7 linked regions of the Zea mays genome follow. The main gene of each other region encodes a partner of the protein of the gene in region 4 in a complex. Links are inferred from orthologs where the notes say so. Each region holds a gene or a part of one and is shown on either strand. Other genes may lie near its edges.

Region 1 (3,578 bases), on a different chromosome or scaffold from region 4:
CTGTCGCGGGCGTCGGTGGCCATGAACGCCTACTACCAGGCCCGGGGGAGGAACTCGTGGAACTGCTTCTTCAACGGCACCGGCATAATCACCATCACTGACCCCAGTGAGTGCTTCCTTGCTTGCTGTGAGTGTCTCATTGCCCGTGAACCGTGTTGGGGGAGCTGACACCGGATGATGGATCATTGGATCCTCTTGCAGGCCTTGGCACCTGCAAATATGCTTGACACGACGGGCTGCTCTGCTGCTGCTGTGCTCAACGGACGATGAATAAGGCTGTAGGGGAATGATGCATCTTTTCCTTCTCTTTGTTTTGTTATTGTGTCTGTGTGAGTGAGCAGGGAGTATCCTTGCAGAACCAACCAGTATCATGTCTGAGCACTGTAGAGAGAATTTCCGTGCTTTTATTTCCCAAATACAGTTCTACTCCAGGCCAGTGGCTGGAGGGGAGTTTAGGAACAGGTGTCAAAGGTCTCAGGTACTGAACAAATACCAAAATATAGAAGAAATCCCAGAGGAAGCCAGGTGCCAGATCCATTAAAAAGACCACCACAGTTCAAGCGTCAGTTCATACTAAAAACATTGCACCTTACAACCAAAGGTCAATCCTAATCCGGCAGATCAGAATGCCAGTACACAAAAGCTAAGTGCAATTATTGTTCACTAGTAGAGAATCTGAAAAGACGGAATATAAAGTTCTTACTGGCATTCATCCTCCACACTCCATCCACAGGAACAGTTTCTTTTCAGCAAACCTGCTATGGCAGACATTGGATTTACGTCAACACAATATCTTATGAGCTAGATCGGTTTCCAACACTTGATGCCAAATACATACAAAACCAAGAAGTAACTGTTGGAGCCAAATTAAAAGAGAAATTGACTTTGACAGTGCATTGATAAGTTGTAGGAAGAAATTCATCTCAACTTACATTAACGTAATTAATCTAGCTTCTTAAAATTTATGCAATTGTCTGTTGCTTCATTAAACAGCACCTCAACCTGCTTCAACTCCCTTTCTGTAACGCAATGACATCAGTAATTAGACATATAATAGTAAGAACTCTAGAAACAGTGGGGATCGTGTTACCGGCAGCTTCAAGTTGCTTCTGGAGCTCCAGTCCCACGACTTCATTCTCTGCCTGCAAATTTCAGATTTTCATACAGTTTATTTGGAGTAGGAGTTTGGCAGATGCCCATCCTGTGCTCGATGAATTAATCTGACTGTCTGATATCTACCTGTAGCTCTTGGATTCTTTTCACTTGATCCTCTTCTGATGATAGTGGCACTGCTGCAACAAGTGCATCAAACTGCATAGAAGGCCATAATTGTTCCTCATTTAAGGGGAAAAAGTTGGAACTGCAGCAAGCATAATTTGAACTAAAGTTTGCCAGTCTTTACATTTCAAGTTTTCAACCATGGTTAACACAAAGTGATCTCCCTCACTCCCTCCCTCCCGTATGCATCACTCTACGTCTGTACGCTGTTGTTGGGATAAACATCTTATCTTAGGAAATGGAGCAAGAGATGAAGATTCTACGTCTGTACGCTGTTGTTGGGATAAACATCTTATCTTATGAAATGGAGCAAGAGATGAAGACTCTACGTTATGTACATTGTTGGGATAAACATCTTATCTTATGTAATGGAGCAAGAGATGAAGATTGTTCTGTACACTGTTGGGATAAACATCTTATCTTATGCAATGGAGCAAGATATGAAGACTAGTAAGTGGCAACACGGTTTCATTGTTTGTCTCCACATAACGCGGGCAAGCAAGCAAAAATTAAACAGTTGGTCCTTCACTTATTCGCAGCATCAGACTTACGAGTAAAACTACGAAGCGAGCCGAAACTTTCTACTTAACCACACAAAGATATTTTGGAATCACCGGGCGGGCATTTGGTCCAGAAGATGGGGACACCGAGAAGAGAAGTGGGGCAGGGTACCTACCTTCTTGGCCGCGAGGACGAGGGCGCGGCTCATAGCCTTGGGTTGCTCGGTGAGGTCAGGCGCGGGCGGCTGCGCCTGCGCCTGCGCCTGCGCCGGTGGCGGCGGCGGCGCGCCGGGCTGGGCCTGGACCTGGGGTTTGGAGTCGTCCTCGGGCTTAGGGTTGGGGTTGAGCGGGTCAGGGTAGCTGCTGGAGAGGCGGTCCGGCGGCGCGTCCCTCTGCAGCGTGCCGAAGGTGTTGACGGCCAGCACGGCCATCTCGTCGAGCTGGTCCTGCAGCTGCGTGATGATGTCCATGCCGAATCCCCACCACTCTCTCCCTCTTCTCCTTCCTCCGTCCCAGACTTGCAGGACGGCGGCTTTATTGTAGCAGGCCGATTTCATCCAGGAATGGGTCTGCAGGATCCAGCCCACGTAGCATGGACCAGGCCGGATCTAAAAAATGTATGTGCCGGTATTCAAAAGATGCTCGCTCATATTCCTGGGATACCACCAAGTCTTCCGGTCACCACACATTTGCAGAATGCTGAGCCATCGGCAATTTTACCATTGTCATTTATAGGCTTCATTAATATGACGTCGGACCCTAAATTATAGACACAGATGATTCTATCAGTTATAGATATGGGATAATATAATAAAGTCAAAACTGAGAGTGACAAAATTATAAATTGTTTGGCACCAAAAGGAGCGCGGACGGAGGCCGGACAGTCCGCGGTCCGGACAGTCCGCGCCTGTGGGCCGGACGGTCCGTGCGTGCGCAGAGTAAATTAGGGTTCCGAGTTTTGTGCTATGTTTGTTAGCTAAAATCGCGGGAAAAGCTCGGAAATTAGTTTGTAAAGGGTCCAGCCCCCTCCTCTATAAATAGAGAGGTATACGGCCGATTTGTAATCATCAATCGAATCAATACAACTTATATTTCACATTTATTTCCTGTACAATTAGGAGTAGTTCTAGTCTAGTTCTAGTTTAGCCTCTCGATCCCCAAATCTTCCGCCTCTCCTCGACTCTACGTCGATTAGAGAAGTCTAGGTCAGTCTACCCGAGCCTAGACACCACCTAGGATCTCTCCTCCCCGACGGGGTCCCTCCCGGGAGCGAGATCCAGGCGCCGCCGGCGATCTCCCGCCGCCCCTGCGCACGCGCGGACCGTCCGGCCCTAGGGCGCGGACCATCCGGCCGTCAGGCAGGGAACCTTAGCTCCTGCGCCAGGTCGCGGACCGTCCGGCCCTGTGTCGCGGACCGTCCGCGCCTGACCAGAGAGCACCACCGCCTCGCGCCAAGTCGCGGACCGTCCGGTCCTGTGCCGCGGACCGTCCGCGCCTGACCAGAGAGCACCGCCGCTGGTTTTTTTAAGTGATTGGCGCCTCCAAAAAGGTGTCAACATACTTTTTGGCGACTCCGCTGGGGACACAAATATAGACGCATCAAATCGGCCCTCAATGGCCGGTTCAAGAGATAGCTCTAATATTTCCCCAAGCAACATCATAGAGCCGACTTAGGAGACCTTGCCGGCTGACGAACAGCTCCAGTTCGAGGAGCACAAGGAGCAGATGATCCAGGAGGCAAAAGCGAGGTTCTTGGCCAACTTCAAAGTGGACAGGAACAACAAAGTCGTCCGACATCGG
Region 2 (3,500 bases), on a different chromosome or scaffold from region 4:
AGAGGATAAATGTATAAGAAAAATGCTTTTTGTGAATGCAAAAGCTGGCAAGTATGCAACTGAACAGTGGCCAGTGGTTACAGGTTAGCCTGCACGATGTCAATTTGTTCGCAGGAAAATGTTCAAGGACATGTTTTCCAATTGAAATTGACAGTCAGGATTAATTTACAGCATGTTGTGGTTCGATGGAACTACAAAGTGGCTAAACACATAAAATTTTTATTATTTCTGATAAAAGCATTGATATGCATTTGAGTAACCTGGTGAACTTTCAATGTCGAAAGTATTCAAATATTGGCTGTAGGTTTGATATTTTAAGATCCAAAGTACACATCCAATGTGATTGGTCTAGAAAAAAAATTGGAAAAGGAAGATATACCTTTGTGTGTGGCCAAAGCTGATCTGGAGAAACGTGCATTGTGCAACCAGCCTTAGCAATCTCCCATTCAACAACTATGTGTACCATAGGCATGGTGCCGTAGCTAAACCATAAGCTCATTAGACCGACAGCTTCAATCCTGAATGTCTTTCTCATTTGCTCAGATAGCTTGTCAGCAGCATCACTGTTACCTTTATTAACAGATTGTGATTTCACCTCCATGGTTAACTGGTTGTCATCTAGCTTGTCTTGAAATTTCACACCAATCAGTCTCCTCATTCCAAGAGCAAAAGAACGAGCATTTGAAAGTCGGCGTAAATCTGACACAAGCTTCTGGACACTATCTGCCTCAACAGTGTTGTAAGTTAAAACAACACCACTGGAATCAAATGAGATATGTGAATCCATTTCTGAGCTATTCGCAATGCGAATGCCAACACCCCATTGTGTTTTGGTGCTTCCTCCATTAAGTTCCCAAAGTTCCCTGAAATGTGGATCATTTATCCTAACATCCCAAGACATGCTTCCAGCCTTACCAAGGCGCAAGCATATATGGTTCCAAGAATCATCCTGTGCAAAAGGTAATCTCAACCAAAGATTAGACGATGGTCTCCGCAGACCAACTTCTTCAACATATGGAATCGCAAGGGAATCCATCTGAGCAGTGAGTTGGGCATGTTTGATGCATAATGAACAGTGTCTTATGACATGTAGTAGCACAGAAGCATATATAGTTGCCGGAACACAATTATTTCTTTCAGCAAGAACATCTCCATAGGTGAGACTGCCTCTTGATTGCAAATTAGAAGAGTGTGCCTGCAAAGGCAGGAGACTCTGCACTGATTCTGTTTTTTTTCTCCGCTTTCTTGGCTCACTAGGTTGCAGTCCTCGTAATGAAGGGATACTTGATAAGAAATCTGAAAGATAGTGTTTCCTAGATGCACCATCAGAACCAGCAGTGATGAGCTTCCCTAATCCTGAAAATTTGCCCAACTAAGATAACATATATTTGAACAATTTATATTTCCAATGACACCATAATTTAGTTCACCATAACGGTTACCAAAAGTTTTACATCTAAATTGTAATCTAGTTCACCATAATGGTTACCAGAAGATTTACATCTGACTCTAATAGATAGAAGAAAAAAATAGTAAAATACCTCCGGTTGTAGTTGAAGATCCAATCAAATGGCCAGGCGTAGCATTCCCAAGATTCCCTGAATGTGAGCTTTGAGCAGGGATTTGATTGCTGTTATCGTTGCTTGAAGGCACAAGCTGAAGTGATTTATTTGCACCTGCAATGTCATAGTCATATGGAGAGCTTAGCGAGCACAGGTCATGATTAGAATTAGAACCTGACAATTTGGTCATAGACATTACAGGGTTTGAAGAAAATGTGTTTGTACCTTGTAAATGTCTAAAGTTACTTGGGAAATAGCTATTCAAACTGACATTAGGATGAACATTCATGTTATTATTAGCTTGGGTATAAGATAAGCATCCATCATGCATTGGTGAGACAACCCTAGCATTTATTCCTTGAATATCAACTGGAAGACAACGATTCTGCGCAGCAGTAGAACCACGTTCATATTCGAAAACCTCATCAACAATAGATGAAAATGATGGTGAACAAGCAGGAAGTAGTGGAAGAGGTTCAATTGCATTTTGGACAGGAAGATCACTCTCCATCATGTCAGCAGAGTCCACTAAACTTTGTAGGGCCTGCAGCTTCACATCAAAAGGGTTCTCATTCATCTCATTTTTAAGTATTTGCATCTGTCCTATATTGATTTTGTTATATCTAATAGCTTCTTTCACATCTCCACTTGCATTAGTATTACCATTTGCATCACACTGTGTCTCAAGCAAATGAAAAACAGGCCTGAAGTCCTTATCAAGTTGCATCAACAGATAATAGGCATTTGCACAATGTGGAAACCCCATGACCATCAAATCTGAGCCATGTAATAAGGTCTTGGGAATCTTCAGAGTGCCCTGAGACTGCTGGTAAACCTATAAAACAAAAACAATGTAGTTTAGCACTTCATGTTTGAACAAGCAGACTTTGGCATACTCCAACAAGTCATCTGATAATAAACCGTACTACCGTAGACTGCCTTATATTCCATATAAGTAACCAAGCAAACATCATTTGTACTGTTTCTCTTCTCAGAGGCTAAAAGAAAATTCACTTCCAGAAAAGCAACAATTAATTTGAACAAGCATTACAACTGCTAAGTCATACTTAAAAGGGTGTCATCTTGTGGTCTCCAATATCAATCTCATTGATTCCACAATAATAATAATCATAAATAATACTACAAAAGTATACTTCAAAGCATCATAATATGGAAGTCAACAAAGCATTTTCATCATTATATGTCACCAATCTAACTATTTGTAAGGATATTACTGATCAAAAGTGCAGTGTGATTGCATGCATCCCATGGTACTTCAAATGATACGCAACAAGCAAAGATGACACCACATCCACTAAACGAAAAGAGCAGACATCTTTGTATATTTGTAAACATATAAACAACCTTAAGGCCAAAAAAACTTCCAGTTGCAGCAAGTAGGTGGAGAATGCTCCTGGTCCTAAGGCTTGAAAAAACCTCGGTAGCTGATGTACTCCCTTTGTTTAGAGCTTCCTCACAGTCCATAAGTGCAGCACGGGGTAATATATTTTCTGGTGATTGGAGGAGAAAGCGGCCACTCCTATTTTGAAGGGACAAGGAAAGAGTCACAAAATTAGGAAGTTGAAAATGCTAAATCAGGAATGAAGACATAAATATATTATTATTTGTCTTCAGGGCAAAAAAGAGTGTTACTCCTACGTGATACTCCCTCCTCCATTCCAAACTATAATTCACTTTGGCTTCATACCAAGTCAAACTTTTTTAACTTTGACCAAGTTTATGGAAAAAATGAACCAACATCTATAGCACCAAATTATTTTAATTAAAATTTCCATTCAATAAGCTCTATCAAATTTTCCATGCAATAAGCTTTGATAGAGGCATAGAGCATTTATTTGTACAATTAGGTGTTAATATATTTTTCTAAAAACTTGGCCAAAGTTAGAGAAGTTTGACTTACGATTTACGAAAAAGTTA
Region 3 (4,149 bases), on a different chromosome or scaffold from region 4:
TAACCAGCACCATACAACATATAAAATTAGCAATATTAGGTCTATTAAAATGGTTCTAAATATTGTAGATCGTAATGACAGCACTGACACCGGTATCAACTGGAAAACTAGGGCTTTTTAAGGAAGGCAGCTCATGCCGGTCTCCACTAAACCGACAGTCCCTACTGGCTAGTAACATCAGTTATTACGTACTAGTAACCCAGCAGTAAAAACTGCCAAAACTAGCCAAACTTTAGACACTCTTAACAACTAATAATTGTGAATTAGAAAACAAAACAATGGCTCAGTAAGTCAGTGGTAAGGCACTAAGGCCGCTCGGTGCGACCGTGCGAGCGCTACTACCCGAGTTTGATCCCTGACTGGGGCGACTCAGGTGTCACACGGGATTTTCATCAGAGGGGACTAAGCCTCTATGTGTGTGAGTTGCTCAGTAGGCACGTTCCAAGACTGCTTGGGCAGCCTCATCCGTGTTTGAGCATGAGGACAACATGTGTGCACCGTGCACATTTGAGTTCTTATATGATATGCTAGTGCTTCTGGCAACAACAAAGCCTTTTAGCTCCAATCAAGTTGGGGCAGTCCCAAAGAAAGCCTTTTAGTCCCATGCCTTCTATATAATATGGCAATGCTCCTGTTGATGTTTAAATAAATGTGAATTAACTTTTTAAAAGGATTTGCCTAGAGACATGAATATTTATAGACATTTTATGAGACAACACAAAAACCTGCAACAGATCTACTATACCCCGTCTTATTATCCATTTCTGGAAAAAATTCTTAATTCTTGTGCAATTGAAAATTTTATTGGATACCAAAACAAAGTAATTGAGATTCATTAGCCAGAATAGTTCAATTTAACTTAGTAATTATTATCAAATTCAGAAGACCACTAAGAATAAAGCATATGAGTCAGGAAAGAGAAGTAACAGAACTTACAGTAGACTTTGAGCTTATTGTTCCCGATATGGAGTTCAACAATTGTTGGCACCTAGCAAACTGGCTGGTCAATTCTTCAACCTAGATATATATAAAAAGCTTCTCTTAATACAGTAGCTATTGGAATTAGGATTTAGCAAAACGCTGGGAAAAATATGGTGTTTAGCTGGTATTCTATAAGAAATCAGCATGGAAGTACACAATACATAGTAGTAATTTTAACATGCTTCTGCAATTGCATAATTGCATAACTAAGGGTATGTCTTCCACTGGCTTGGTTTTGGCTATGGAAAACTGAACCGTGCAGACCCTGTCACCCTGGGCTGGTCCCAAGCTTCCTGTGCACCACCAACACTAGAGCATTGTTTGTGACCTGTCTCTTCTCTGGGAAGTGATTTAAGAATTACATCACATGTCAATTCAAACTCTGTATAAGAATATTCAGGCTCCACGCCTAGAAGAAGCTACAACTATTGTTTCTGACAAGATCATGCACTATGAGTACAAGAACATTGATCCATAAAACAAATGAAAATTAGTAAATGGTGATTCTTACCAGTGCATCGAAATTTTGGTCCCTTGTTCCTGTACCAATAGCATCGGCTAATCTTGTAACCAACTAACAGAGAACAAAATTATGCAAAGAAGAAAACTATCAGTATTTCACAATACATTCTAGTACTTTCTCAAAGAGTAAAAGGAAGAAGAGCCATCATAAAAGTGGAAACAAAGATTTGCTACTTGCAAAAAAGCCATTGGAAATAAGCCTAAATGTTAGATGCCAATACAGACATGTGATTGCCAGCTTAAGAAAACCTACAATACCTAAAGTGCCCTCATATATATTTTTAATTTATGTATTTCTTGTCAAACCAACTCGAGTGATTAGAATCAACATTTTCTCTGGCCATTACCAATGTTGCACGCTCTGACGCTTGTATATCGTTCATGTACACCTATAATATGGCAATCTTCACTACCGGCCAAAGTGACAAATCATGGTGTGAAGAAATTGCAATCGCTGAGCAACAAATACAGGACAAATTAATGACAATCTTTAATGACTAGCAAAATCCCAAGTTCAGAATTTTGAAATTCCGGTGCACAAAGGGCACACTCCAACAACATCAATGACATCACTACAAAAAGAAGGGTTCATTTGAGGGTATGTATCATCTATGCTATCTTAAACTAAGAGCAAAGGCCCCCAAAACACAAAACTCCACACAACTCCAAACACTCCGTTACTTACATGTAGGAGGTGGAAGTGGGAGGCAAGAGAGGCGTGGTGATGCTGCTGCGGCTGCGGTGGAGACATCAGTGTCTGCTGCGGCTGTGGAGACATCAGTGCTGGCTGTGGCTGCGGTGGAGACATAAGCGCCGGCTGTTGCTGCGGCTGCGGCTGATGGTACTGAAGAGCGTGGAGGTGGTGGTCGGGCTGCGGGGACGTCATGAGCCCACGGTAAGGATCGCCGTACTGCTGCTGCTGCTGCTGCGGGTGGTGGTGATCCATCTCTATCCCCAGTTCCCAACACCTGCGGGCAGGGGCTATTGGAAAAATCGAAGTTATTAGTAATTTAGTAGGCATAATAATACATGCATATACTTGCAATTACTCCTGAATCAGATCCGATTCTTAAGCTAGGTTTTGAGTGCTCGGTTTCGCAAAGCAGATAGGGGAGAGGAGGGACGGGCATACCTAGTGGGTGCTCGTCGCCGGTGAAATGGGCACGACGAAGGTCTGGGCACCGGCACCTGACGGCGGCGGCGGTAGCCTAGTGCTCGCCGGGAAATAGGGACCACGCGGGGCGTGAACTGTGAACGGCGGCCAGTCCGGTACTGTTTGGCCGACGGGGGCGCTAATCTCGGAGTACGGTGGCTGTGTCCAGCTGATATGGCCGTCTAAAGAACTGTTGTTGTACGATAGTCATACCTTTGTTTGTAGCGTTGGAGTTGAAATAGTGGATAGATATTAGATACGAGAGGAGATAGATAGTGTTTTTTAACCTTATTCATCTATAGATGGCTAAATAGATTGTCTGTCCAGCATTAATGGTGTTATTAGACACTATTAGTAAATGTGTCGTGATGTGTTAGTACTATTGTCTAGACACGGCACTATAGTGTCTAATCATGTCATGCCGACACTAACATCTAGTAGGGTTCGTGTTAGCCCACTTTAAAAGCTCAAAATATATAGATGATTTTTAAGGTTATATATAATTTTAAAACTTGAATATGTGTACTATTATAAAGTGGGTTGACTCTTCTGAGGCTCCCTTTTGGTAGGATTTTTGCATCACCGGCTTTCCTTCTGGCTCATCTGAAAAAAATAGTTTGATCCTTATTTTTAGTAACCCTTGGAGAACACTCTATTTAGTTAAAACACAACTACTCCTATTTTCATGGGAGGGTGAGTGACAAGAGAGAGTCGAGTCAGAGAAGCCTCCTTTTTAGGCTCTGGGCTTTCCTCGGTTTTTAGGGACATCTCCTTCCTATTTTTATGGAGAAGCCACGAGAGGAGCCCACCATTTGGTAGCCTTTTTGAAGAAGCTGTTGAGGGGCCATTAAAAGAGCTCTACCAAATAGAACTCTACTATGTAAATTGTCATGTACCTAGGAACAGGGTAACCAAAAGTAAGCCCACAACCTCCTTCCGGCCCATTAGCCGACCAACCCTCTGCCAAGCAAGCCTACGAGGCGGAGCGGACGACCAAGTCCTCCGTCGAGCAAGTTTGCAAGATGGAGCGAACGACCAATTCCTCGTCGAGAGGCAGAGCGGCTGACCAACTCATCGACGAGCAACCTCGCAAAGCAGAGCAGCCGACCAACTCCCCACTGAGCAACCCTTTGAGGAGGAGCGGTCGACCAACTCCAAATTGGGCAACCATACGAGGCGGAGGTCCCAACCTAACGCTATTAACCCGTGATGGCTACGACAAGACGCGTCATCATCAACCCACGTCCGGACATATGTGCAACGTACCGAAGGGGCGCCAGGAGGTCACTATCGACACGACTGAACGCCACCACGTACGCTCTAAGGCGTATCCCCACTGCCATGTGGGGTCAGTCAACCCAGTCATAGAAAAAACCTCAGCACTGGAGCCTCTACAGTGACCCGTATACCGGGGAAGGCAGCACAATGCGCCATACAAAGTATATGCCTACACACACTAGGTGACGCGTGATCGTTATGAGGGCAAAATTCTT
Region 4 (3,773 bases):
CTCATCCAATTATCTCCAATCCATATGAATTGTGATGACAAGGATTATGTCCTTAGGTCTTGTTCATTTTATAGCAAAATCATATGGATTAAGGTGTATTGAAATGGATTGAGAAAGATTTTGACTAGTAGTGGATTACTGAACAACCTGGCAGTGCACCTTTAGGAACGGAGATAAAACACAAAGTGTTTTTTTTCGCTTGCTCGTGTATTCAACGTAGCAACTGTGCCACTTGGCTCGGCTTTTTGTCAGGAGAAGGTTCTGTTCGAGCTGATCCAGGCACAAATGGAGTAAAGATAGAAAGGAACTTGCGAACATGGCGGCCATCCAGAGTAGGCACATAACCCGCTAGGCTGACTCCAACAGTTCACCCAAAGTTTACCCATAAATTCACCCAAAGTTTACCCATAAAGACAGGAAGCCGTTAGCATTCTATGTCGTTTTATGATGGCAGAGACTCATTTTGCACAACAACAGAGACCATGGGGCAAGTAAAGGTACACAATCAAACATAGATAAAGTGGGCTTTGTTCGTGGCTTCCAACCTTAAGAAACCAACAAAAGGCGATTGCTAACCATGGCGTCAGATTCTAAGCACATGTACACAGTTTTATAGGGCATAACATAACATTTGGTCACCTAGAGGTTCATGATCACTACAAGGTAAACCGCAGAATCGCACTCCTCACACCCTTTCAAGCTCCGTGATGTGCTTGCTCAGCTGCTCCTTCAGTTCCTTTTGCCACCCTTCAATCAACTTCTTGTGCTTGGCAATGAGCTCAGACTTGCTCTTCAACTCTTCCTCCATTGTCGTAATCTCCTGTGCAATGCAAAACCGAACATGCCAACGAGATGATAAATATTGGGTGGGTATATGTATCCCAAATTCCTAATTAAGACCAGCAACTATGCACCTGTGATTCTCTCAACTACTGCAAAGGCATTTTTTTACAGAAACGTGTGCATGAAAAATTCATGAGCACAGAAGGTGTTAGGTGTATGAATGTGATTGGGTGTTCCTTGGGAACATTACTTTGTAGAAGTGACGATTCAGGCAGGCTACCAGTTCTTTCAATAATGAACACCTCAACTTCGAGTAGAAATATAGGAGTCTTTGTAATAAAGCTTATACTGAGTGTAACAAACTGCCTGTAGCAAGTAGCACTATGTGATTTATAAAGTTGGCTATTCCTAAGTATAGTGCCAACCACAAATGATCACAGTACTTGGGATGATCATATCATGTGAAATGTCAATCCTATCACCAATGAAAACTTTTAAGGGAGTGTTTGGTTTGAGGAGTCACTCAATCCAAAATGATGTGGTGTATAATGAGTCCATTCCTCAAATTTGCTGGGATGACCTTATTTCTCATATTAGTACTAACTAACTATAAGGAATGACTCCATTCCTTATTTCATTCCACAAATCAAATAAAAAAAGAGAAGTGAGAAGACGATGGACTAGCTCATTCCTCAAACCAAACACTTTATAATTAATTCATTCTCCATAACCAGTCCCCAATTTAATTTAACTACTATCCTTGCCGCACTCTTAACTATACGAGGATAAAGTAGAAATATACCTTTCGAAGCATCTCTTCTGCAGATGGCGGTTCCTCACGCTGCAGGCTGATGAAATAAGACTGGAGCTTCTTGGCAGCCTCCATGAAATCCCTTGCGTGCCTCTCAACATCAACTGCCCAATTTAGTAGAGACTACAACACTTAGATACCCTGTTTGGCAGGAACGAATGAGAAAATGCAATTAAATTTCTCTAATAAGCATTGCACACTATTAAGTCGGTATCTAAAAATGTGATTTACTTCTTTAATAAGCATTGCAATGTGATTGCCTGATTGGTACAGTTGATACAAGTTGAGTTCTCAGTCTAGGACCTAAGAAACCAATCGATATACAATTTCCTGGGCACAAGAAAGATGCAAAATCTTCCTCTAGAAAGAGCAAGATCCCTTTATCCATCCCGTAGGCAAAACAACGAACATGTGGCGCGCGACGGCGCCATTAACCGACCGAACACCATGAGACTTTACTGGTGTCGAAGCCGTGCCGGATCAAAGTGAAGCTACCTCTAGAGGAGGAGAGTGGGGAAATGATGGGGGTCGGCCGTACTCTGGTGGGAGGACTGGAGGGAGCGGTCGACGGCCTGGAGCTCGCGCGCGGGGAGGCACGGCAGCAGCGCGGCCTCCAGCGCCGCCACACACGCCAGCATGTCCTCGAGCCCACCCGCCGCGGGAGTCTGCTGCGTCGGCGGCGGGGGCGGCGTCTGCGCTGGCGACTGCGACGGCGTCGGCTCAGCCATGACGGAGAATGCGGAGAGAGGACCCGGAGAGATTGGGAGCGCTTGGGCCTCCGATTTGCTATTGACAAGGAGGAACTTTCCGTTGGATTGAAGACGCACGGCTAGGATTGGTTTACAAATGGCGTGTTCTGCGCCTGGATAGGCATAGGCTCGAGGGCTGAGGCTGCCTTGGCTGAAGGAAAGCGCATAGTTTGTTCAGGCTGACAATTTTCTGAAATATTTTTTCTTTTTTATAATAGCACACTTCTTCATATTTTGGTGCCTAAAATTTAGGCAACACTCTTATATACCACTGATTGCTAATAAAGGACCATTTGGATCCTTTTATTTTCAAAGAATTGGAATTTACTCCCTCCAGTCTTCAAATATTTGATGTTTTGGACATGACCTCATATACCAAGGAGCTATTAAATAGGGTTGTTATTTTCCATAATACCCCTAATAAATACGCTTAGATTCCACAACAAACACATGAAGATGTTAGCCTAGATGGTTGGGTCCTAAAGAATTTTACACTAGGTCGTGAGATCAAACCTTCACGATAAGAATAATTAAGCATATGTGGAAGAATGTGTGAACCACTTATATCAAGGGTATATTAGTCCAAAATAAGCTTCAAATGCTTCAACATCAAGCATTTGCTAGTCCAAAATAAGCTTCAAATGCTTCAACATCAAGTATTTGCATCCAAAGTGAAAATCACTTAAACATCAAGTATTTAAAGACTGGAGGGAGTATTTAATAGAGTAGGTTATTTGATTTGAATTTGATATTACACCACTTTCCAAAGTTTAGATATAAACTCATCTCAAATTCATAAGATGGGGTGGAAATTGATTTTATGTATTCAATTCTACGTTTCTACTCTGTAATTTATAACACACTCTTCTACTCACTCTCCTATAGTAGAAATGTAACATATAAATATCTCTCAAATATGGCCAACACTAATATACAAATATACTCACTATAAAACCATATTAGTTTAATTGATTTATGTCTAAATTACAATTATTATATTAGAATTCAATTCCAAGGGTCCAAAGGGGGTCTAAGACTATAATTTTATTGTTTACCTTTATGTTATAACCTATATTTTTTCCCTTAGCTAACTACTAAAATAATTGCAAAATGTTAATGGTCTTTATGTCAACACAAATCAAAATCTACCAAATTTATGATTTTGTTCAATAGATATTTTATTCTTAAGAGTAAAAATGTAGATTATGTCTATATAAATTACAACACACTAAAAACTAAAATTCAGGTACCTAAAATTTAGTAAATCACTTAAGGGCTTATTGAGAAGTAAGAAATTTTAACCCCTCGATCCCCTCCAATCCTGTTTCTCCCAAACAAGCCCTAATAGTTGTAACACCCTAATTTTTGGTTAGGACATGGAACTAAATACCATACCTCATTCCTTGTGAAGTTGTTGAGGTCCTCTTGCA
Region 5 (2,172 bases), on a different chromosome or scaffold from region 4:
TATAGTCCAATATATGCTCAAAGTGTTCTCTTAGTTTTTTATGATCTTTGTGTTCAATTCGGATGCATCTACATATTCTTATAAAAGGTCTTCAACACGTTTTTCAATGTCTTGCTTGAGGTTTTGATCATTTATACCACCAATTTATCTTCATTCAAATACACTTTGCATCCTTTAAACTATATCTATAAATACTAATAAATAATGTTACTTAAAATACTAGCAAGCAATATTAGTTCAAATGATTATGTTAATCATCAAATACTAAAATTTATGCATCAGTCTATTTTACTTACATTCCTATTGCAACAAACAATTTTGCTAATATTGACTAAACGACGAATTAAATGATTGTTTAGCTTATTTAATCATGCTAATATTGAATAAAGTATGAATTAAATGGTTGTTTAGCTTATTTAATCATGTTTAGCTCGATTCAATGTAAATCGTTTAGACAGTTTAAACTGCTTAAATGATTCAACTACCTATTTAACGTACCATTTAAACCCTAAACAACACAGGTCACTTATTTTACTGTAGTTTAAATAATAATTCTGTTATACCTAATAGTTTACGGCTAGTACAACAATGCCATAAAGTCACTCAAGATTACGAGTACACCACCATATCATAAAGTATGCACCTATGCATGGACATCTGGCATTTACCTATCGGTGACAGGGATGCTTAAGTTTTCAGATTAAGTTTTAGCAACACTCCCCGAGTGACTATTCCCTAACCCTGTCAAATGAAGTTGACATCTCAACACTTGGGTCAGTGTAAACCCTCAATTCATCTGATGCCTGCTGATAAAAGGTGCTTAAGGTAGGAAGCCTCCCCCAGGCATGCTGCCCGGCCCCTGTGGCGTAATCTTCCCTTGCATCATCTGCACTGCCCGATTGTGCCCCTGCATGAACTGCTGCCCCATTCCTGTACCCACCATCTGGGGTTGCTGCTGCTGTTGAGGCTGCATCTGTTGCTGCTGCTGCTGCATTTGCTGCATCTGTTGCTGTTGAGGCTGCATCTGTTGCTGCTGCTGCTGCATTTGCTGCATCTGTTGCTGTTGAGGCTGCATCTGTTGCTGCTGCTGCTGCTGCATTTGCTGCATCTGTTGCTGCTGAGGCTGTATCTGTTGTTGTTGTTGTTGTTGTTGCTGCTGCTGCTGCTGCATTTGCTGCATCTGTTGCTGTTGATGCTGCATCTGTTGCTGTTGATGCTGCATTTGCTGCTGCATTGGCTGCATCTGCTGCTGCATCGATTGCATCTGCTGCTGCATCTGCGAAGGTTGCTGCTGCTGCATCGGTTGCATCTGCGGCTGCTGTTGCTGGAGTTGCATCTGTGATTGCTGAAGTGGGAGGCCTTGCGGCTGCATATGCATGTGTTGTTGCAGCTGCTGCTGCTGCTGTTGAAATTGCTGTAGCTGCTGTTGCTGCATTGGTGTCTGCTGAGTTGAGGCCTGCGGTTTGAACACCACCATGTCCTGGGAAAAGGTCATTTAGTAAATGCAGATAATTATGCAGAACATTAATTAATTTAACTACAATCAAGATTACCCCAGGGAAGAGCATGCCAATCAAACGACCTGCTTTGTCAGCCATCGACAGCAACAGAGTTTGCGATGGTAACTGTATCACAGCACACTGAAACCAGGACCAATTGGATATTAGAACTGTATAAAGTAACTGACAGAAAACTAAGTGTATGAAACGACAGTAGATGAACCGCAGCAAAATAACAAAATTACTGGTTAGTTGTCCGTGCGTTGCTACGGTTTTTATATATCATAAAGATAAATCTTATTTAAATAAGATATTTATTCAAACACGGTCTAAACCGGATGTGTGGTGAGATGAGATGAAGTTTTTTCTCTCGCTTTTTTCCACGCTCACGAGATCAGAGATAGTGAGAAAGAAGGTATTGTACTATAGATAGCCAAATAGGTCGTGTCTAGCAGACTGACCCAAGGCACGGCCCATTTAACAGTACCGCGGCCCGACCTGAGAACCATGTCGTGCCTGAGCCACCGTCTCAGTCTATAGTGCCGGCCCGGTCCGACGTGGCATGATTATATTTTTTTAAATTTAAATGTATTAGTATGTATATATATTTACAATATTTATCCTCTGTGTAACACAATATTTAGAATATCTATAGAAGAGGGCCACGGTTCGA
Region 6 (2,952 bases), on a different chromosome or scaffold from region 4:
TACGAGAAAATTTCTTCCGGTATGTGTGGAACGTGCTCTCCAATGATGAGACCATGCAAATCGTAACATATATCGAAGTTTGCATGATACTGATGGTTGCAATGTAGTGGTGAAACAGATAGATTATAAATAACAAAATTTATGTATGCCAGAATCACAAATTGGTTATGAAACATTTTCTCATAACGATATAACACATTTTGTATATAAGTTATCATAGTATACTGGTATTATATATTCCCGTTGCAACGCATGGGCATTCAGCTAGTTACATAGAAGGAAATACCTCTATTTTCTAGTTGGGGCTTTATATTTGAAATTGTTTATGAGTTTAGGGTCTCTATTGAAGTTGCTCTTATGAGCTGGCTGACAATTAACTCTATAGCTTTGGAACATGGTCTAACTTTAATCAACTCAGTGGAAGCTGCATGAGAACTGTGCCAAACATGTCCGTTCATAAACCTAGGTTTTACATTCTGGTACATCATTTCTTTTTTTTGCAAACGGGTAGATGAAGGTTAGTATTAGAGAGATCAAAACGTCTTAACAGTTTTACAGATAAAATCATTCAAATATTACCCGTGAGCATACACATGGCCAGATTTTAACCGATTATATACAAAAACTGCATCATCGCTGACGAACAGCATACGCCGCGCGGCGCGCGCGCGCATCGGCGTCACAACTCCCTGCCCAAGATCATCTCCGCGGCTGTGCCCATAGCCTCGGGACCGGCGCGGCGGAGGAGCGCCACCGCGAGCTCATCCTCGCCCCAGTGCCGGAGGCCGCTGCTCAGGCGCTTGAGCACCCTCAGGTCCACCTCCTGCACCCAGCACGGGGTGCATTCAACCACCAGTCCTAGGAACCCAGAGACGTAGGCTCGCCACAGGGAGAGGTCGCAGCCGAGGAAGATCTTCCCGGCCAGCGCGCTCGCCAGGAACCCCAGGTGCGACCGCATGACCCTCTCGCGGCGCCGGGACACGGGCGTCTGGTCGATGCCCCAGGCCAACATCCCCGAGTACACCGCGAAGTAGGCCAACGCGTGCCCGCCTAGCTTGTACACCACGCCTCCGCTAGCCCCGCCCTGATCCAGGTTCTGCGCGGACAGGAACCAAGACGGCAGCATCTCCTGGATCAGGGACTGGACGAGAGCCGTGCCGCCGGATAGCCAGACGAGTGTCGCCCCCAGAGATGCCGCCACCTTCACCTGCGTCATTGCAGCGGAAAGAGATACCTGGCCATGCCTCATCCCGTACTTGGTCTTCTTTAGCTTGTCTGGCCTTTGTCTGGGCACAGTTGTTTCTGCGATATCCTTCACTGAGAGCATCAGAAGGGAGAGTATGTCCTCGGCGAGTATGGAGCAGTCCTTGATGCACCGGAATATCCGGAGGTAGAGGATTCCTGGCGCAACTGGCGAGAAACCACCAGGGCAGTACCCGTGGCCCAGAAGGCTGGCGACACCTCCACAGCTGCATACTGATGTCGAAGACATGCCAAGGGTAGCGGCGAAGCAACTTCGGAGGAGCTGGACGACTGCATCGTTGTTGTGGTGGAACACAGTGCGCGAAGCTGAAAATATTAGGAAATCGCTCCATCGCTTCACCTTCTGGGTCCACAGTGCTGCAACGATTGCCATGCTTGGCCAAGGGCAGCTTGCAGCCAGGTTCTCTAGAGCTGGACCAGCAAGGTTGAGGAAACACTCTGATGCCTTGTCAAGCTTGTATGTGATTGTGAGGCTCACGAAAGCAGCCAATGGTAACGGAAGTGTACCTGAAGAGCTTCCTCCTGCAATACATGAGACCTGGATTAGTACTCACTGCATGAAAACTGGTATGTTGGCTGTAGCAATGGCAGGAGATGAACAGGAACCAACACCTGTAACTAGCTTTGGAACATCAACACCGGTAGCAGCTACGATTTTCTTGATGTGCTCATCAACCATGGATAGGTTCACAGAGGGGCTAGGCCAATCTGATCCATTCATGGATGCAGGCTTCCAGACACCCCGCGTCACCTCAGCGGAAAAGTAGCTTACTATTGTAGCAAGAGATGCAGGGAGGAAATCAGCCAGATCCTTCAGGCCTGAAAAATGAGATGACATAGTTATACACCCTGACCCTGAATGAGCATTTTCTAACATAAAGGTTAGAAGCCACGGTTGGTACTCTTTACTCTTGATTATCGGATAAAAGTAGCACTGGTTTCTAAAATTGCCTTAAAACTGAACACAACCGACCTGTGGCCAGTTCACGTGGAAATAGTCTTCCATGGGAACAAGCAGTAAGAGCAGCATCAACCACAAAAGGAACAGCCTCCAGTATCTCCCAAGCTGGCAACTGAGGCCAAAGATGTGAATCATCCCCACCAGGACTGGAAGAATTACTTATGCTGCTACTTCCAGATAAAGAACCTATTGATGTGCCTCCTTTATTAGCTTTTCTGAACATCTGATTAAGAAGGCTATCCACATTGTTACGTACAGGTGTCCCATGAGCAAGTCCAGAGAGAGTTGAGGCCAGACAAGCTTGGTGCTGCTGGTACCATAACTTCAACTTTGGAAACGAGTCCATAAAAATAGGATTTCCAGATGATGGGTGTGAAGTTGATACTTGTGATTGCCTTTGTCCGTTTCGTTGTTTTGACAAACTGCTGGAAGATAGGACCTGGGAATTCCGTAACAGCAGAAGATACTCAGGAGTTAGCTGCGAGCCAACTGGAGCACCATCTCCCATTATGCAATACTCAAGTGGTGGATGGTTAAACTTCCAAAGTCTCAACAGAAGAATAAATGCATTCGAGAAGACTGTGTGAGCAGATATTTCCTCTCCAGTTCTCAGTGTCCAGGAAACACTTGGAGAAAGACACCCAAATACTTCACAGATTGCCATAAGAGAAGCAGCCAGCTCTGGAATCTGGTGATACGGAGAGGAAAAAGTTCAGAATCAAAAGATA
Region 7 (4,238 bases), on a different chromosome or scaffold from region 4:
CAATCTTAAGTGTCATACTAATCTCCTGTCAACGTCTCGACCGATGGGTGCATCAATGACTTTTTAATGGGTGGTCTTTCCACAAAGGACATGCCACTAATATTGATAATGTTTACCATACGGATTTTGCATATCATAATGATATTTGTCGTTCCGTTTATATATTTCATACAATTTTTTTACTTCCGTCGCAACGCACGGGCACTCACCTAGTTGAAAAATATATACACATGAGATAAACTTCTTTTTGAGAAAAGAAATTATGGTTTGGATTTTTGAGAAATTTTAATATTGGTAATACTAGATTGTTACACCCTGCAACTACAAGGCAGGGCATTACCCATCAGCAATCATGCAACCAGTCAAACCAAGAGCAAGGTTGGCACAACGATGTGTCAGACATGGACAACACTAGCAGGCAAAACTGACTGCTCAAATGCTCGGCACGAAGAAGGCCACCTCATTAGCCACGCCCACTCATCTCAAAGAACGGACTTTGGCTGTCCTAGCAGCAAGAACGGACTTTGGCTGTCCTAGCAGCATTACAAGGTTTTGCCACCGCCACTTGACATGAGTGAGGCAGCAGCAGCGGCTGCTGTTGGAACGATTCCTGTCGAGTGTCCTGGTTTTGACAGATGCAGCAGCCTGCAGCAGATTTCCAAGGATTATTAAAACCAAAAAGGTGTTTGGTTCATTCTTATATGTTTTCTGATTGTTGCCTCGGAATTCAAGCTTTGGGGTACTTACGGGGCAAGATATTCACAGAACGCAGTGACAGCTGAAACAACATCATTGTAATTATCAGCAGCAGCAGGAGCTGTGATTTCCACTAGCTGTATGGCAGGAGTGACTGGCGTAGCTTCATCGGTTGCATGGAGCCTTGACATCTTGTTAGCAGATGTAACAGTGACAGTGATTTGGGCACCTCGGTGGAAACGAAATGCAAAACCGCTCTTCAAGAGTTCATGGTCTAGCTTGTACCCTAGGGTGTAGAAGTAGTGCAAGACGTTCTTGCTAGCTTTGCTCTCCACAACTGTACGAACCAGAACTGAGATTTGCTCCGCACCAGCACCTCTCATGGCACCACCAACATGTCTTATGGTCCTACAATCTTGTCACAATTAATGATAAACATAACAAAAGGTAGACTTTCAGCAGCTTGTCTCGGTTACCAGGATGGTGTGGGCTGAGCTAAGTCACACAACAAACGAACCTCCGATGGGACAACACCTGTATGATTGCAAGACGTCAGTTAATACGCCACATGTGTAGGAATGGAGGAGTAGACTAATCACAAACTAACCTAGATTGGGCCCACTTTTAAGGCAGAGCTCATGCACCCTAAAACGCTCTTTCGGGACACCAGAGAGTCCCTGGAGTAGAACCTCAAGAGCATCGACATGCTGCAAAATGGAAAGATCAAACAAAGGTTAAACTAATGGCAGAGCAGTACAACAAAGAGCAACTTACATTCTGTGCACAACACATAAACTAGAACATACCAAAAAATTAAGTTCCTCTCTATTGTAAAAGCACAAGGATAGATCATATGTTCCCCCAACTGTATATTAAATGTTACTATTCTGTTAACATGCTGAGAAGAAAAAAAACAAATGAAATCAAAAGCTCCAGAAGTAGTGCCTTAAAGCGCGGAATAAATTGTTGACATTTAGTGGTCTACATGATCTATCTATTTATCACTTCAATAAAATAAACTTTTGTTAGTATTTATCTGTGATGGAGTAAACAGAAAAGTGACCACCAACTGGCAACTATGGATAGTGGCCATACCTAAGGGAGCTCAACTGAACACTAAAATGAAGCTAGATTGTATGGTGCGTAAGCTCAACATTGTGCACTGTACATGTACATCAATATGAGATTGTTTTGTCCACAGCAACGGAATTCAATTAGTAACGAAATGTTCAACAACAAATTCAATACTATAAGTATATACTTACAAATAGATATTAACAATCTATACACCATTCAAAATACTTATCAAATCTAGATGCAAGCAGTGAGAGGAAAAGTTAATGTCTGATCTGCATAACAAAATAGACTGCACTAACGATGATGAAAGAGCTCCTATCTTTCAAATGTTAGTGGAATGCGTGAAAATCAAATTTTACATAAACCATCAGTGCCAACTTGCATTGTGGCACAATACCTGGTTCTCGATGATTCCCTGCACCACGCACTCCATCGATCTTCTACTGTCCCACAATGATTTTGCACCCAAAAAAAAAGAATCACGTTAGTGGATTTGTTATATGTGTATCAGGGGTGGACCAGTATGGCAGTAAAAAACAAAATTAGAAGTTAGTAGACATCAAATAGTTAGGTTAGAGTTCGGGAACTCGTTTTCGCACAGCGGGTAGAGAGAAGAAGGGGGTGGGAGTGGGAATACATTGAGAGCGTTCTTCGCCAGCGAATAGATCAGCGAAGGGCGTGGTGCCTATGGTGGCGACTGCGGTAGCCCGTCCAGTCGTCGCAAAGAGAGAGAGAGAGAGAGAGCGCGCGCGCACGCGGTGTGAAGGTGACGGATGCGGCAGCGGCGGCGGCGGCTGTAGCCCAGCTAGGGCCTGATCTGGGAAGAGGGAGGCTCGATAGGACTGAGGCACTGTCGGCGGTGCGAGCCGTGCGGCGCAGCGTCGACAGGAACAATGGTGGACGCGACGCGAGGAGGGAGACGGGAACGACCGGACGAGGGAGCCAGGCAGTGGACGGCTGGGCTTGAGCAGGGAGGTGGGCTTGAGCTGGGAGAGTTCACAGTCTCGTTTGGAATGATCCAAATTTCGTTTCGTTGACTAATCTTTTATTTTTTATATTGTTATATTTTGAATCAAATCCATTTAAAACGGACTGAAATTTGTTTTTTTGGTTAATAGCGAAAACGAAAAAAGTATCAAAATTTGGTGATCTCGGACAGAAAAGATAAACCGTGGGCTTGAGTCAGGATTGTTCAGCCTAGTCGCGGTGCGGGGGTTGTTCAGCCTTATTTGTCACTTTTTTTATTTTAATTTTGATAAGACCTAATAGGTTACTCTAGATATGTTATCACTTTACCTTTTTATTCCTAAATCACTTGATAGTTTTACTATTTCTTTACATGGTTTTGGGTTAATATTTCATTATATCCATGTTCCAATTATTTTGTTATTTTATTTTTATTCATGTCAAGATTATTATCTTTAATTGGAACATAGAGCTTAACTTGAGAAACATGTGTCACCACAAGAGAGGAATGAGACCCCTTGACTAACTAATTAGGAAAGCTAGTGGAAAACTACCTTACCCGAAAGGGGCAACGGCAGTAAGAGAGTTACATGCAGAGAGGTTCTCGGTTGATTTTGCTGCGATGGCGGTCAGACGGGGGATTCTTGCAAGTCGAAATCTAGTGGAACTTTATAAAGGCCTCGTAGTGTTGCCCTGTCTCGCTTCCTTGGTAGAGGTGTATGAGAGTCGCGATCCCTTGGTAGATGGGTAACATTACTTGTGGATACAGGGTACAGCCTCTGTAGAGTGTAAAACTGGTATACTAGCCGAGCTCATGGTCATGAGCAGCTCAGAACTGTCGCATGATTAATTAATGGAACTTAAATTCAATTTGTCATTTGCATTGCATGTGATTACTTATTAATTTTGTTCTATTATTTATTATGGTTTGGTATTTACTTACACTTAGTAACTGCTAATAAAATTTTGACCAACTTATAAAAGCAATGCTCAGCTTCAACCTTTATTTTGTTGATCAGCCTTACACTTCACATGAACTCTCACCTTTGGTGAGTTCATGCACACTAGTTTCCCCACAACTTGTTGAGCTATGATCATATGTGAGCTCACCCTTTCTGTCTCACACCCCCATAGGAGAAGAACAGGTGGTTCAGGAGGAGGCACACAATGAGGAGTTTGATCTAATCTAGGTGGCATCTCCCAGTTGACTTATTGGCGCTAAAGATGGATTTTAGTTCGATTTATATTTATCTTTTATTTTGTAAGACTTCCGCGATGTAATAAGTACTCTGATGTTATTGTGACATTTATCTCTATACACTCTGTTATTATATATGTTGTCTTCTTTGGCACATGTATGAGATGCATTCGGCTTTGTTCCTTAAATCCGGGTGTGACAGAAGTGGTATCAGAGAAAATGTTGACTGTAGGACGAAACCTAAATAGAAATGGACAAAACCCTTTCCTAATTACCTTACTCTGATTCATTCTATACTTAT

Evidence for each region.
Region 1: Mediator of RNA polymerase II transcription subunit 28-like (region 4) and Mediator of RNA polymerase II transcription subunit 21 share a complex: the UniProt entries of both Arabidopsis thaliana proteins name them as parts of the mediator complex. The link is inferred for Zea mays from reciprocal best matches to the Arabidopsis thaliana genes AT3G52860 and MED21.
Region 2: Mediator of RNA polymerase II transcription subunit 28-like (region 4) and mediator of RNA polymerase II transcription subunit 14 share a complex: the UniProt entries of both Arabidopsis thaliana proteins name them as parts of the mediator complex. The link is inferred for Zea mays from reciprocal best matches to the Arabidopsis thaliana genes AT3G52860 and SWP.
Region 3: Mediator of RNA polymerase II transcription subunit 28-like (region 4) and uncharacterized protein LOC100276155 share a complex: the UniProt entries of both Arabidopsis thaliana proteins name them as parts of the mediator complex. The link is inferred for Zea mays from reciprocal best matches to the Arabidopsis thaliana genes AT3G52860 and MED9.
Region 5: Mediator of RNA polymerase II transcription subunit 28-like (region 4) and mediator of RNA polymerase II transcription subunit 25 share a complex: the UniProt entries of both Arabidopsis thaliana proteins name them as parts of the mediator complex. The link is inferred for Zea mays from reciprocal best matches to the Arabidopsis thaliana genes AT3G52860 and PFT1.
Region 6: Mediator of RNA polymerase II transcription subunit 28-like (region 4) and Mediator of RNA polymerase II transcription subunit 33A share a complex: the UniProt entries of both Arabidopsis thaliana proteins name them as parts of the mediator complex. The link is inferred for Zea mays from reciprocal best matches to the Arabidopsis thaliana genes AT3G52860 and RFR1.
Region 7: Mediator of RNA polymerase II transcription subunit 28-like (region 4) and mediator of RNA polymerase II transcription subunit 18 share a complex: the UniProt entries of both Arabidopsis thaliana proteins name them as parts of the mediator complex. The link is inferred for Zea mays from reciprocal best matches to the Arabidopsis thaliana genes AT3G52860 and AT2G22370.

What each region holds. Positions count from the first base shown.
Region 1 is NC_050099.1:37,999,029-38,002,606, reverse strand, and holds Mediator of RNA polymerase II transcription subunit 21, read right to left. Parts: upstream 2,249-3,578; coding exon 1,955-2,248; intron 1,312-1,954; coding exon 1,240-1,311; intron 1,143-1,239; coding exon 1,091-1,142; intron 1,020-1,090; coding exon 943-1,019; 3' UTR 933-942; intron 759-932; exon of another isoform or gene 756-758; 3' UTR 501-755; downstream 1-500. Other genes in the region: putative X8 domain containing family protein isoform 1 precursor, read left to right, coding at 1-106, 202-227. UniProt on the Arabidopsis thaliana protein: Component of the Mediator complex, a coactivator involved in the regulated transcription of nearly all RNA polymerase II-dependent genes.
Region 2 is NC_050097.1:176,295,864-176,299,363, forward strand, and holds part of mediator of RNA polymerase II transcription subunit 14, read right to left. Parts: intron 3,103-3,500; coding exon 2,928-3,102; intron 2,398-2,927; coding exon 1,788-2,397; intron 1,677-1,787; coding exon 1,542-1,676; intron 1,357-1,541; coding exon 380-1,356; intron 1-379. UniProt on the Arabidopsis thaliana protein: Component of the Mediator complex, a coactivator involved in the regulated transcription of nearly all RNA polymerase II-dependent genes.
Region 3 is NC_050097.1:1,837,529-1,841,677, forward strand, and holds the start of uncharacterized protein LOC100276155, read right to left. Parts: upstream 2,801-4,149; 5' UTR 2,636-2,800; intron 2,485-2,635; 5' UTR 2,450-2,484; coding exon 2,189-2,449; intron 1,556-2,188; coding exon 1,493-1,555; intron 1,018-1,492; coding exon 937-1,017; intron 1-936. UniProt on the Arabidopsis thaliana protein: Component of the Mediator complex, a coactivator involved in the regulated transcription of nearly all RNA polymerase II-dependent genes.
Region 4 is NC_050103.1:84,916,337-84,920,109, forward strand, and holds Mediator of RNA polymerase II transcription subunit 28-like, read right to left. Parts: upstream 2,469-3,773; 5' UTR 2,323-2,468; coding exon 2,133-2,322; intron 1,699-2,132; coding exon 1,586-1,698; intron 821-1,585; coding exon 686-820; 3' UTR 501-685; downstream 1-500. UniProt on the Arabidopsis thaliana protein: Component of the Mediator complex, a coactivator involved in the regulated transcription of nearly all RNA polymerase II-dependent genes.
Region 5 is NC_050097.1:178,589,898-178,592,069, forward strand, and holds the end of mediator of RNA polymerase II transcription subunit 25, read right to left. Parts: intron 1,641-2,172; coding exon 1,554-1,640; intron 1,481-1,553; coding exon 821-1,480; 3' UTR 501-820; downstream 1-500. UniProt on the Arabidopsis thaliana protein: Component of the Mediator complex, a coactivator involved in the regulated transcription of nearly all RNA polymerase II-dependent genes.
Region 6 is NC_050097.1:165,228,203-165,231,154, forward strand, and holds the end of Mediator of RNA polymerase II transcription subunit 33A, read right to left. Parts: intron 2,913-2,952; coding exon 2,237-2,912; intron 2,083-2,236; coding exon 1,876-2,082; intron 1,786-1,875; coding exon 680-1,785; 3' UTR 501-679; downstream 1-500. UniProt on the Arabidopsis thaliana protein: Component of the Mediator complex, a coactivator involved in the regulated transcription of nearly all RNA polymerase II-dependent genes.
Region 7 is NC_050100.1:126,532,858-126,537,095, forward strand, and holds mediator of RNA polymerase II transcription subunit 18, read right to left. Parts: upstream 2,801-4,238; 5' UTR 2,411-2,800; intron 2,217-2,410; 5' UTR 2,207-2,216; coding exon 2,171-2,206; intron 1,404-2,170; coding exon 1,304-1,403; intron 1,231-1,303; coding exon 1,173-1,230; intron 1,105-1,172; coding exon 748-1,104; intron 646-747; coding exon 543-645; 3' UTR 279-542; downstream 1-278. UniProt on the Arabidopsis thaliana protein: Component of the Mediator complex, a coactivator involved in the regulated transcription of nearly all RNA polymerase II-dependent genes.